Linked DNA regions of Schizosaccharomyces pombe. The protein of the gene in region 3 binds, or shares a complex with, the protein of the main gene of each other region. Each region holds a gene or a part of one and is shown on either strand. Other genes may lie near its edges. A codon is read from its position in the direction of its gene.

Evidence for each region.
Region 1: the proteins of lsm6 (region 3) and lsm5 are in contact, whole or in part, in a crystal structure (PDB 3SWN), measured with the Schizosaccharomyces pombe proteins. Residues at the interface, in NP_594380.1 of Schizosaccharomyces pombe: Ser3 (codon at 1,089), Ser4 (codon at 1,086), Pro5 (codon at 1,083), Phe8 (codon at 1,074), Leu9 (codon at 1,071), Lys11 (codon at 1,065), Leu18 (codon at 1,044), Arg20 (codon at 1,038), Met38 (codon at 875), Gly64 (codon at 797), Asn65 (codon at 794), Asn66 (codon at 791), Val67 (codon at 788), Leu68 (codon at 735), Tyr69 (codon at 732), Val70 (codon at 729), Ser71 (codon at 726), Ala72 (codon at 723); in NP_596373.1 of Schizosaccharomyces pombe: Met23 (codon at 1,208), Arg27 (codon at 1,196), Phe29 (codon at 1,190), Val34 (codon at 1,175), Gly35 (codon at 1,172), Phe36 (codon at 1,169), Asp37 (codon at 1,166), Asn41 (codon at 1,154), Val43 (codon at 1,148), Glu49 (codon at 1,130), Glu58 (codon at 1,057), His60 (codon at 1,051), Glu62 (codon at 1,045), Met63 (codon at 1,042), Leu64 (codon at 1,039), Leu65 (codon at 1,036), Asn66 (codon at 1,033), Asn68 (codon at 1,027).
Region 2: the proteins of lsm6 (region 3) and lsm7 are in contact, whole or in part, in a crystal structure (PDB 3SWN), measured with the Schizosaccharomyces pombe proteins. Residues at the interface, in NP_594380.1 of Schizosaccharomyces pombe: Leu21 (codon at 1,035), Tyr27 (codon at 1,017), Cys33 (codon at 890), Asp35 (codon at 884), Tyr37 (codon at 878), Asn39 (codon at 872), Ala41 (codon at 866), Glu47 (codon at 848), Tyr57 (codon at 818), Asp59 (codon at 812), Ala60 (codon at 809), Phe61 (codon at 806), Ile62 (codon at 803), Arg63 (codon at 800), Asn66 (codon at 791); in NP_588340.1 of Schizosaccharomyces pombe: Ser24 (codon at 2,260), Asp27 (codon at 2,269), Leu28 (codon at 2,272), Tyr31 (codon at 2,281), Gln37 (codon at 2,299), Thr39 (codon at 2,305), Thr41 (codon at 2,311), Gln45 (codon at 2,323), Gln55 (codon at 2,353), Leu56 (codon at 2,356), Met57 (codon at 2,359), Gly90 (codon at 2,458), Thr91 (codon at 2,461), Thr92 (codon at 2,464), Leu93 (codon at 2,467), Val94 (codon at 2,470), Leu95 (codon at 2,473), Ile96 (codon at 2,476), Ala97 (codon at 2,479), Pro98 (codon at 2,482).

Annotation. Positions count from the first base shown.
Region 1 is NC_003423.3:3,299,470-3,302,678, reverse strand, and holds lsm5 (U6 snRNP-associated protein Lsm5), read right to left. Parts: upstream 1,385-3,209; 5' UTR 1,376-1,384; coding exon 1,351-1,375; intron 1,250-1,350; coding exon 1,126-1,249; intron 1,080-1,125; coding exon 1,013-1,079; intron 965-1,012; coding exon 938-964; 3' UTR 544-937; downstream 1-543. Other genes in the region: RNA polymerase II nuclear import protein Rtp1, read left to right, coding at 1,853-3,209. UniProt on the Schizosaccharomyces pombe protein: Component of LSm protein complexes, which are involved in RNA processing and may function in a chaperone-like manner. Component of the cytoplasmic LSM1-LSM7 complex which is involved in mRNA degradation by activating the decapping step.
Region 2 is NC_003421.2:1,816,288-1,819,424, forward strand, and holds lsm7 (U6 snRNP-associated protein Lsm7), read left to right. Parts: upstream 1-2,078; 5' UTR 2,079-2,136; coding exon 2,137-2,186; exon of another isoform or gene 2,187-2,240; coding exon 2,241-2,532; 3' UTR 2,533-2,637; downstream 2,638-3,137. Other genes in the region: dsc5 (UBA/UAS domain-containing protein), read left to right, coding at 110-1,285; nucleoporin Nup60, read right to left, coding at 2,830-3,137. UniProt on the Schizosaccharomyces pombe protein: Component of LSm protein complexes, which are involved in RNA processing and may function in a chaperone-like manner. Component of the cytoplasmic LSM1-LSM7 complex which is involved in mRNA degradation by activating the decapping step.
Region 3 is NC_003424.3:3,922,985-3,925,770, forward strand, and holds lsm6 (U6 snRNP-associated protein Lsm6), read right to left. Parts: upstream 1,143-2,786; 5' UTR 1,096-1,142; coding exon 1,011-1,095; intron 902-1,010; coding exon 788-901; intron 738-787; coding exon 709-737; 3' UTR 602-708; downstream 1-601. Other genes in the region: inositol phosphorylceramide mannosyltransferase activity Imt1, read left to right, coding at 1-329; sec67 (translocation subcomplex subunit Sec72), read left to right, coding at 1,769-2,347. UniProt on the Schizosaccharomyces pombe protein: Component of LSm protein complexes, which are involved in RNA processing and may function in a chaperone-like manner. Component of the cytoplasmic LSM1-LSM7 complex which is involved in mRNA degradation by activating the decapping step.

The DNA.
Region 1 (3,209 bases), on a different chromosome or scaffold from region 3:
CAACGAGATTGGAATTTAAAACGAAAAAGTTTAATGGTTTTAGCTGAGTTTTGTCGTTTTTCTCTAACTATTTAGGGATAAGGGAAGAGAGGATTCAAAAATTTCTTAATAATCCAAATGTATAAATGATGAGATATATAAATCCAAAGTATTAAACTTCGTTTTCATTTTAATTTTACTTTTTCGTTTCCTTCATAAAACTGCTGAAGATACTAATTCTCAAAATTTTGAGTTTACAATAACAAGGTTAGTCACTTTAGTTTATATTAATGATAAACAACAAATATTCATACTTTTTCCAGTGTATAATCATAATAAATCCCCATTTTGGCCAACATGAACAAAAAAAAGTCAGTATGATTCAACCAGATGGGCTGGAAGAGATAACTTGAATAGTAAGATCCTGTAAAGGCTACTCAAATCAATGTTTAGTATGTTGTCTTTCAAATTAGAAGAAAAATTGCTATCATCGTAGGCTATGCATATCCCGTTTATGCCAATTTCTACAGTCAGATTACATTCAAACAATTAACTTTAACACAGTTTACATCATCTGAAATAACAATTCATTTTGGTAGTATAATTTGAGATACAATCACTAATAGGAAAAATTATGGAGGATGGAAGTATTAAGCCTTTATTTTTGAATAATCACTCATTTCAGAAACATGCAACCAGTCCTATAAAATACCTTATTTTTGCAATCAAATTCTTTAAATAACTCGATCAAATTTAACCGTATCCGAAGACATGGCTTTACCAACGCTTGTTGTTCAATTAATGTAAAAAGTGAGACTTGGGTCTAGATATTTTACCATATATGGAGTGCACACAGTATGAGCTAGATTTGGCGTGCAATATATCTCCATTTGTTTGATAATAACAAAAATCACTCTTCCTTCATCTTCAAAAGACTGTTAAATAGCCAAGTACCAACTTATTCGGGTTTTCCACCAGGAATCAACTAGATAGTTAGTGTACAAAAATTCCTTTATTATTTTCATTGACATACCATGCACATCCCATTTCCGTTCAAAAGCATTTCAGAGTGTTTTTCGGTAACGCCGGTAACAGTATCACTTCATAGAAATTAGCAAAGATAATTAAAGTTATTATATTTCATACTATTCTGTAACATCTTTTAGAACAATATTCACATAATCATCGAATCCAACAAGTGTCCCCGCAAATTCGCGTTCACTTTTCATGATCACCCATAAGTTTGATCCAATGCATTTATCAATTAATTCTGCTTGTTAGCATGAACAGATTTACCCAGGGCATAAATCAATAATTTTTCCCTTTTCTTATTATGAAACTAATTTAGAATGTACTAATAAATCTACATACCTAAAGGTAAAATTGTCATCGACATGGTGGAGGTGGATTGCAAGTTCACATAAATTGCTACTATACAAGAACCATGCTATCATTTTACCTGAACACATAGTGTTAAGGGAATATCATTTATTGGAATCTTGAAGATTTTATAAATAAGAGGTTATCGTTTCATTAAAACTGTGGACATCTTATTCGGTCTTATTTTTTGGTCTTGTCGTTTGTCAAAATTACACAGTTGTCGAATAGCGATCCATTTCTTTGAATGAATCCAAGCTAAAGCTGTCTAGTTATAACTTACCCCAAGTATTTATTGCTACGATCAGGAATTAGTTATCCACATATTTTAGCCACAAAGTTCGTTAAATAATTAAGGTTTCCGTACCTGGTTCTCATATTCTAAATATTTGCTATTGCTATTTCTTAGTACGGAAAGTATAAGAGTTGGTTTTTTGCCTTCACTTACTTATAACGTTCACTACTTAGCAAGTGAACTTTACAAGCAATATTCCGCATGGATGCAAATCAGAAGTTATTAGATTTTGCGAAGCTTTTAAATCAAAAGAATGATTCTCGTCCTGTAATTGAAAAATTGAAGGATAATATAAGTGGTGATTTATTGAATTACTTCCTCAATCTTCTAGAGGAAATCTCAAAGTTGGATACAGACCAACCCTTAAGTGTTACCTCTCTACGATGTTTGCAGCTTTTTGTTCATCTTACATTTTTGCTTGGTGTTTATACTCAACTCCCCAAAGAAATGCTATCGCAAGCGAAAATTAAGGCATTACCTATTTATACCCCCAAAAAAAATCTGGTCCAAATTTACAATATTTTACTTCCTTTATTGTTAACTCCAAGTTTATTACAAGGTCCACTTAACCTTCACTATGCCGACTTATTGTTGCTTCATTTATATTTGTTGAACTGCCATGAACAAGGTTCTCTCATTGAAGAACCCAGGCCTTTATTTTTAGACCCTTCATGGAAAGAAAAAGTAACGAGCATAATGTCTCCACAAATGGTTGATCCATCTAAAATGATTTCTTCTTGTTTATCGCTATTACAACCGAATGTAGATAACTGGTTGCAAGATAAATTGAAACATTATTTAACTACCTGTCTTTGTAGAGAAACTGGCGTGCAAGGATTTCTCAAAGTTTATATGCAAGCACAGCCAAATTCAATCGAACGCGCACGACAGGCCGCTCATCTGATTTCATCTGTTCCAAAGGATATCTCACCACAGAAATATTTTTCGTGTATTCTTCCTCAGGTTTGGAGCCTTTTCAGCACTCAACCTCGATTAGCGTCACAACTCATAATTGCTGTAACAAATACACATTGTGATATTGTTACCTCTTTTCTTCTTAAAAAGCTCCAAATACTCGAAGCACCGAAAGTCATCGATTTATCCCCATTTGAAAATGCATTGGACGTTCTTCAAGTATTAGTCTACATTCAAAACGATGATATAATTCGCATATGTGAATCTTGTGTACCAAGTCTTTTGCACTTACAGGAGAACACAACTTTACGTTCTAAAGTTCAGGATATCTTGCTTCGTATTATATCAGTCTGTGGTACCAAATCGCTGTTAAGGAATTTAACAAATGCAAAACATCTTCGTATATTTTGCGAGAGACTGACAAAATCACAATTAGCAATGTTCCTGCCTAACTTGTTAGAAATATGGGTCCAGCAGCCACCAGACAAGCGTTTGGAATTACTCGAACTTGTTCAATATGCCCTGTCTAATGTTGATTCAGATGAAATTCCTAGTAATGTAATGCTGTCTGTCTGCACTAATCTGATCAATGAAGTGGCTAGTCAAAATAAGTATTCCTCTACAGAAATATCCCAGATTACTA
Region 2 (3,137 bases), on a different chromosome or scaffold from region 3:
TTATTTGCAACTGAACATTCATGGAATCCTCTGGTTGTCGTTTATTTTTCTAATCGAATTTTCGGTGAATGTTGGGACTGAGCCATTTTGCTAACTGTTTTATGATTAGGAAGCGATCGAGAGTTTAACTGGAGAATCGTCAAGAGTCGATAGAAATTCAAAGCTTGGATTAAGTTTCGGCGTCTTTCAATCTGTTTTTTCTTTGCTATTCAGTGGGTTGCACAAACTATGGATGATTTTGTCAAGGGTTCCTCTGATTTCAACATTTATCCCCATTTTTGGTACTACTAAGCGTGTCCTTTCTCCTGCAGACACTGCGAACAAGCTGGTTCAGAATTTAGAAGAGCAATACGGTACTGAGCATATTGATTTTTTTACTGATGGCGGCTACATGGAAGCGTTGACACGTATTAAGCGTAATTATGGAGTCGCATTGCTTTTCTTTACTAGCTCAAAGAATGATGACTCTGAGACGTTTTCCAGGAGTGTTCTTATGAACCAAGAGCTAAAGGAATTTTTAAATCGTCGAAACATTCTTTGCTGGACTGGTGATGTTTGTGAGGATGAGGCTTTCCGAGGTTCTCGTCAATTCCACTGCACTAAATTTCCCTCCGCAGTCCTTGTTATGTATTCACCTCAGCTATCTGAGCTTGTAGTTGCCGCCCAACTCCATGGATGTCTTGATAGTTCCAGCATCATTACCAATCTAACTAATGCTTTGGCTAAACATCTTCCTTCTCTTGAGCGTTTCCGTTCGGAGAGAGAAGCACGAGAAGCTGCTCGCGAGTTACGACGTCAACAAGACAATGCCTATCAAGCGTCCCTTGCCCGCGATCGCGAGCGTCAAGCTTTCGCGAGAGCAGAAGAAGAGCGTCTTGCAAAGGAGAAAGAAGAAAGAGAAATCGTTCAGAAAAAGAAAAAACAATATCGTGCTTGGCTTGCTTCTAATCTTCCACCGGAGCCATCATCTGAAGATGAACCTGCTCGTCTTTCGATCCGTTTTCCCGACGGATCTCGGGCTGTTCGAAGGTTTAAGAAGGATGATACTGTTGAATCCGTTTACAACTATGTGGATTATATGCTTTTTGAAAAAGAGGAGCCTGAAGAATTCGGTCGCGCTACTTCATCTTCTAATCCGGTCACTCCACCAAGTGACTATAAGCATGATTTTCATTTTCAACTATATTCTTCTTTGCCCAGAGCTTTGCTGAAACCATCAGTGGCTATTTCTACTAACAAAGCCATCTTTCCAAATGGCACTGTGGTGGTGGAGCTGGATGATTGAAATTAACAAAATTGTTTGTCTTTTTAAATCATAATGACAATTTACGACTATCGACGTTTCGAATCCGTTTTTAAATACATTTCTAAGATTTGATGTATGATGAATTTATTTTCTCTTTTCTATTTCTACTACTGAATTAATTGTTGTTTATGGCATGAATGTCTACTGGACGCATTGACTTTTTATTTTGAGCAAACTTTCAATGCACCCTTTAATCTGAGTACATAGTCGATTTCCACTAGATTTTCTGTTCTTTGCCAAAAACCTTTTCTATGCATGTCATCTTCATCTCTGTTTTCTACGATTTTCTTTGCAATGGAGGACAAAGGCTAGTAATTTAGGCTTTGTAGCATAAAAGTTTTGCCAGCTTTCGTCTGTGATGAGTGAGGTATGTATTATGAACATAAATTTGTTTAAAATATAAATCTTTCTTTATTGCAATTCGAAAAAGTCTAGTGGCTTTGTTTCTAAACAGCTTAAATTTTACCTTTAAACTTTCATTAATGTTAAATTTTTATATAATTAATATACAAATTAGTGCATTAGATTCACTTTATGTCAAGCATTATGACCCCAAGCATGGAATTTCTCAACGTTTCTAACAAAATTGGAAAAGTAAAGCGGTGAAATTATTTCCTTTCAGACTGAGCAAGTTTATTTTACATTCCTTTCTGTAGCGTGTTTTATATTCCATTTACTGCTATGTCTTAAGTCATTCAAATTGAACCATATAAGGATACGTTCGATCACGTTACAATCATCGTAAAAAGGAGAATCGTCAAGTTGAACCTGTACTTTATTCTTTTCTGGGCAATAGCTGATAATTTACCTGGTTATTCTAGATACAAAGAATGTCCAGTCTTCAAAAACGCCCTGGCCCAGGTAACTCTAGTCAACCGACGTAAGTCTAGCAGGAACGAGCAGCATCATGAGTTTTGCTAACTTTCTTAAATAGTGAAAGACCAAGAAAAGAATCTATCCTTGATCTTTCTAGATATCAAGATCAACGAATTCAAGCCACGTTTACGGGGGGCCGACAAATTACCGGTATTCTAAAAGGATTCGATCAGTTGATGAACCTTGTACTTGACGATGTAGAGGAACAGCTTCGCAATCCTGAGGATGGTAAACTTACTGGAGCTATTAGAAAGTTAGGTCTTGTAGTCGTTCGTGGAACAACTTTAGTTTTGATTGCTCCCATGGATGGTTCTGAGGAGATACCGAATCCATTCGTCCAAGCTGAATAAAAAGCCACAAGCCCTTCATTTGATGTTTGACTATTGTTAATAAAATACTACAAGTTAATTATTATACCGCATGTGCATGTTTTGCTTTGAAGGTTCAAAGACCCAATTCGGAAAAGTGTAAAAGCAATATGTGTTTAAAAGAATAAATTCGATTATTAAGATGATTTTCTCTACGCATATGTTTAAATTATTTAATCCATGTTTATTCCCAGTTAGCTTGTTATCACATTGCTATATAATTTATCTAGTCTAAATAGATATATGCCATTGAATAAAAGTATATTAATGCCAAAAAGTTTAGTTCTTTTCTTCCTTCAAAACTGAAAATGAGAATTTAGGTAATTCCTGGGTGCTTTCCATTGTAGAGAGATTCTCCCCATTCTCTTTTGGCAAAACCGTGAACGAAAACTTGGGAAAAGGTTCCTCTTCTAGGGAACCTTGTTTGTCAGTTTTTTCGAGCGTCATAGTGGCATCTTGCTTATGTTCATTCGTGCCCTCAGCAGAGGGTTTCTCGACTTCAACTAGCGAAGTCGATTCCGATACTGAGATAGGGCTTTTCTCAGCTTGCTCAAAACTCCGTTGATCAATAGCAACGTTCGTCATCT
Region 3 (2,786 bases):
CCACGGTGTTTCTCAGTGCAGGACCTTTATTCCTATCTTATCAATTTTGTAAATACTTACTTACGCCGCATGAACCAGTGCGCGTCTTACCTGCTTTACTTTATGGAAACGGACCTAATTCATTTTTTTCACATGTTACTGGTGATAGCTGGCATGGCACTGATGCTAAAGTATTTATTTGGATAGACCGAAATTCAAAATCTGTCTTATTTTTTGCTTTTTTGGCTGCGTTCGCTATCCTTTTCTTATGTCTAAGAGTTGTCTTTAAACGGAGAAGGAAACGTGGAATTGCGGCTTCTCACTCACAAATACAGGAGCTATATCCCTAGTCCCTTCGTTTCTATAGATGGGCTAAATGGGTGATTTGGCTATTGAAGAAATTCAAAGGTAAAAGAAGTGTATATTATAGTTTCATTTGATGACAACTTGAAAAAAAAAAATGATGCCAAAGTCATCGTCTCTGTGTTTGTTTAACGAAAACGGTTTTTTTTAAAGGGCTATAAATTACATTTACTTCTAAATGATACATCAATATCTACAAATATATATCCTTCATTGAACTCTGGCTCTTCTTTTCAACATTAGCATAAGAACTTATTATGTATACACGTGTTTGTATTTTTTAACGATAATTTGTATTTTATGCAAATTACTTTAACCAATCTTGTACCATAATCGTATATCGTATTGAAGGGCTAGAAATCGTCTCTAATCATCTAAAGCAGAAACATATAAGACTGTTGGACGGTAGTTAGGAAATCAAAGCACTTTAATATAAATACCATACCATTGTTTCCACGAATAAATGCATCTCCATAAACATTCGTCTTCTTGCCATTAACGTATTCTTCTGTGCGTTCAAGGGCCAAGTTCATATAACCATCAAGACAACTGAGGATTCCTAAAAAACAGGTTTAGTATTAACAAACCCTAAATAACGGAAAAAAAGTTAAAGCGATAGAAACAAATTGCAAACTTGCATTGTCTCCGACGCAATTCATGTTAAATACCTTTATAGTCGACACCAGAACTTAACCGGATAAGAACTTTTTTGCCGATGACCTTATTCAAAAACTCATTAGGAGAAGAATCCATTATCTTCCAGTTGGTTTAGAGAATTCAGCCTTTGAAGGGTTTTCTGTGAGTCGTAAATTGAAGTAGACACCAACTACATTGGTAACCTCAGTTCAGGGTGCTCTTGCATATAATGAAGAATAGCATTATGTGCAAAAATGTATACCGTGCAAGACTACACTACTTTAATATACACTTCGTTGCGTATCACTATATGTGATATGTTGGAATATCAGTTGAGATCTGGTTATTAATAATTATGGGTAACTATCCGCTAACTAAATAAATTTTATTAAAAACACCCTTTAGAACAATTATAAATAGAGGTACAGCTGAATCTCGTTCCTCAGTTTAGTTAAAGCTATATTAATGATAGGTAACAATAGATCGTACATAAAATATTATATATGTCCTCGGTTGCTACTTGTATTACCTGCTTTTTGCAATATTGCAATATAATAGATCATAAAGCTCATTGCAGTTCTACACATCGTTAAAATTAAATAACAAACTGCGTAGTTAGTATTTATGTGTGTTAAAGTATTGTGACACGTTCTGCTAACACTTTCAAGTTTACTACTTGCATTGAACATTGCTTGTCTTCTCTAAATTATTTGTACATAATAATCCATCCGAGCTTTGTGCTTTACATTAAGAGCAGCTTCACTACTTCTTCTTTTAAAACTTTGCTTCGATGGTTGCTAAACAAGAATCGGTGGTTGCACCTCAAGTTGATGTGTCAAAATGGAGTGGGAAGGAATTGGAGTTGGGCAAAAAGGTTAATGAATACGCCAAGTCATTAGCTACGTTTAAATATCCTTTTTTTATTCCACCTCCCTATCCTCCTGCTAAGCCAAATATGGCCTTGTCTACCCAAGTTAATAAGATGAAGCAAACTGCAAACGAGGCATTTAAACGCAAAAAGTATGAGGAGGCAAAAAAGTTATATGGATTAGCATTACAACTCGCTTTGAATCGCTGTACTTGGGAACCGTCGATTCTTACGCGTGAAGAAGCAAGTGTTATGTTGTGTAATCGGGCGGCTGCTGAGATTGCCCTTTCCCAATTCCCCGAAGCTTTAGCAGATGCAAATGCTGCTTTGAAAATTCGAAATAATTATGGAAAGTGTTATTATAGGAAAGCAAAGGCTTTGGAGGCAATGCATCGCATAGAAGAGGCTAAACAGGTTGTACGAGACGGTTTAATTTTGGCAGAGCCAGTTACGAGAAACGAGTTGGTGGCTTTATGGGCAAGTTATACTGAAAAAGATTAAAACCAACTGTATCATGGTTTCAAATGATCATTGGATTTGCACGCTCCTTTTATTTCCTTTCTTTGTGTTGTTTCATATTACCATAAACACTTACGGCCACATAATTAATCCATTTCAAAATTAATACTAACTTGATATTATTGCCAATTCATTTAATGCTCAGGTGATTGTAGCAATTACTGTATACAAAAGACCATCCCCTAGCACATCATAAATACGGTGGTTTTGAACATGAATCTAAGTTTCGATTGTCATTTGTTACCCTATAGTCAAACAACAATGTTATAACTTTCCAAAGGATTTATTGAGTAAAACGGTAACTTTTTTGCTTGAAAGTTAGTTACCATCTAAGTCACCCTTCTTTGCCTTATAGCAAAAGTATTATACAATGCAAAATTTTATTATTTTCTGTACTTCCACTATAATAAAAAAACACCTT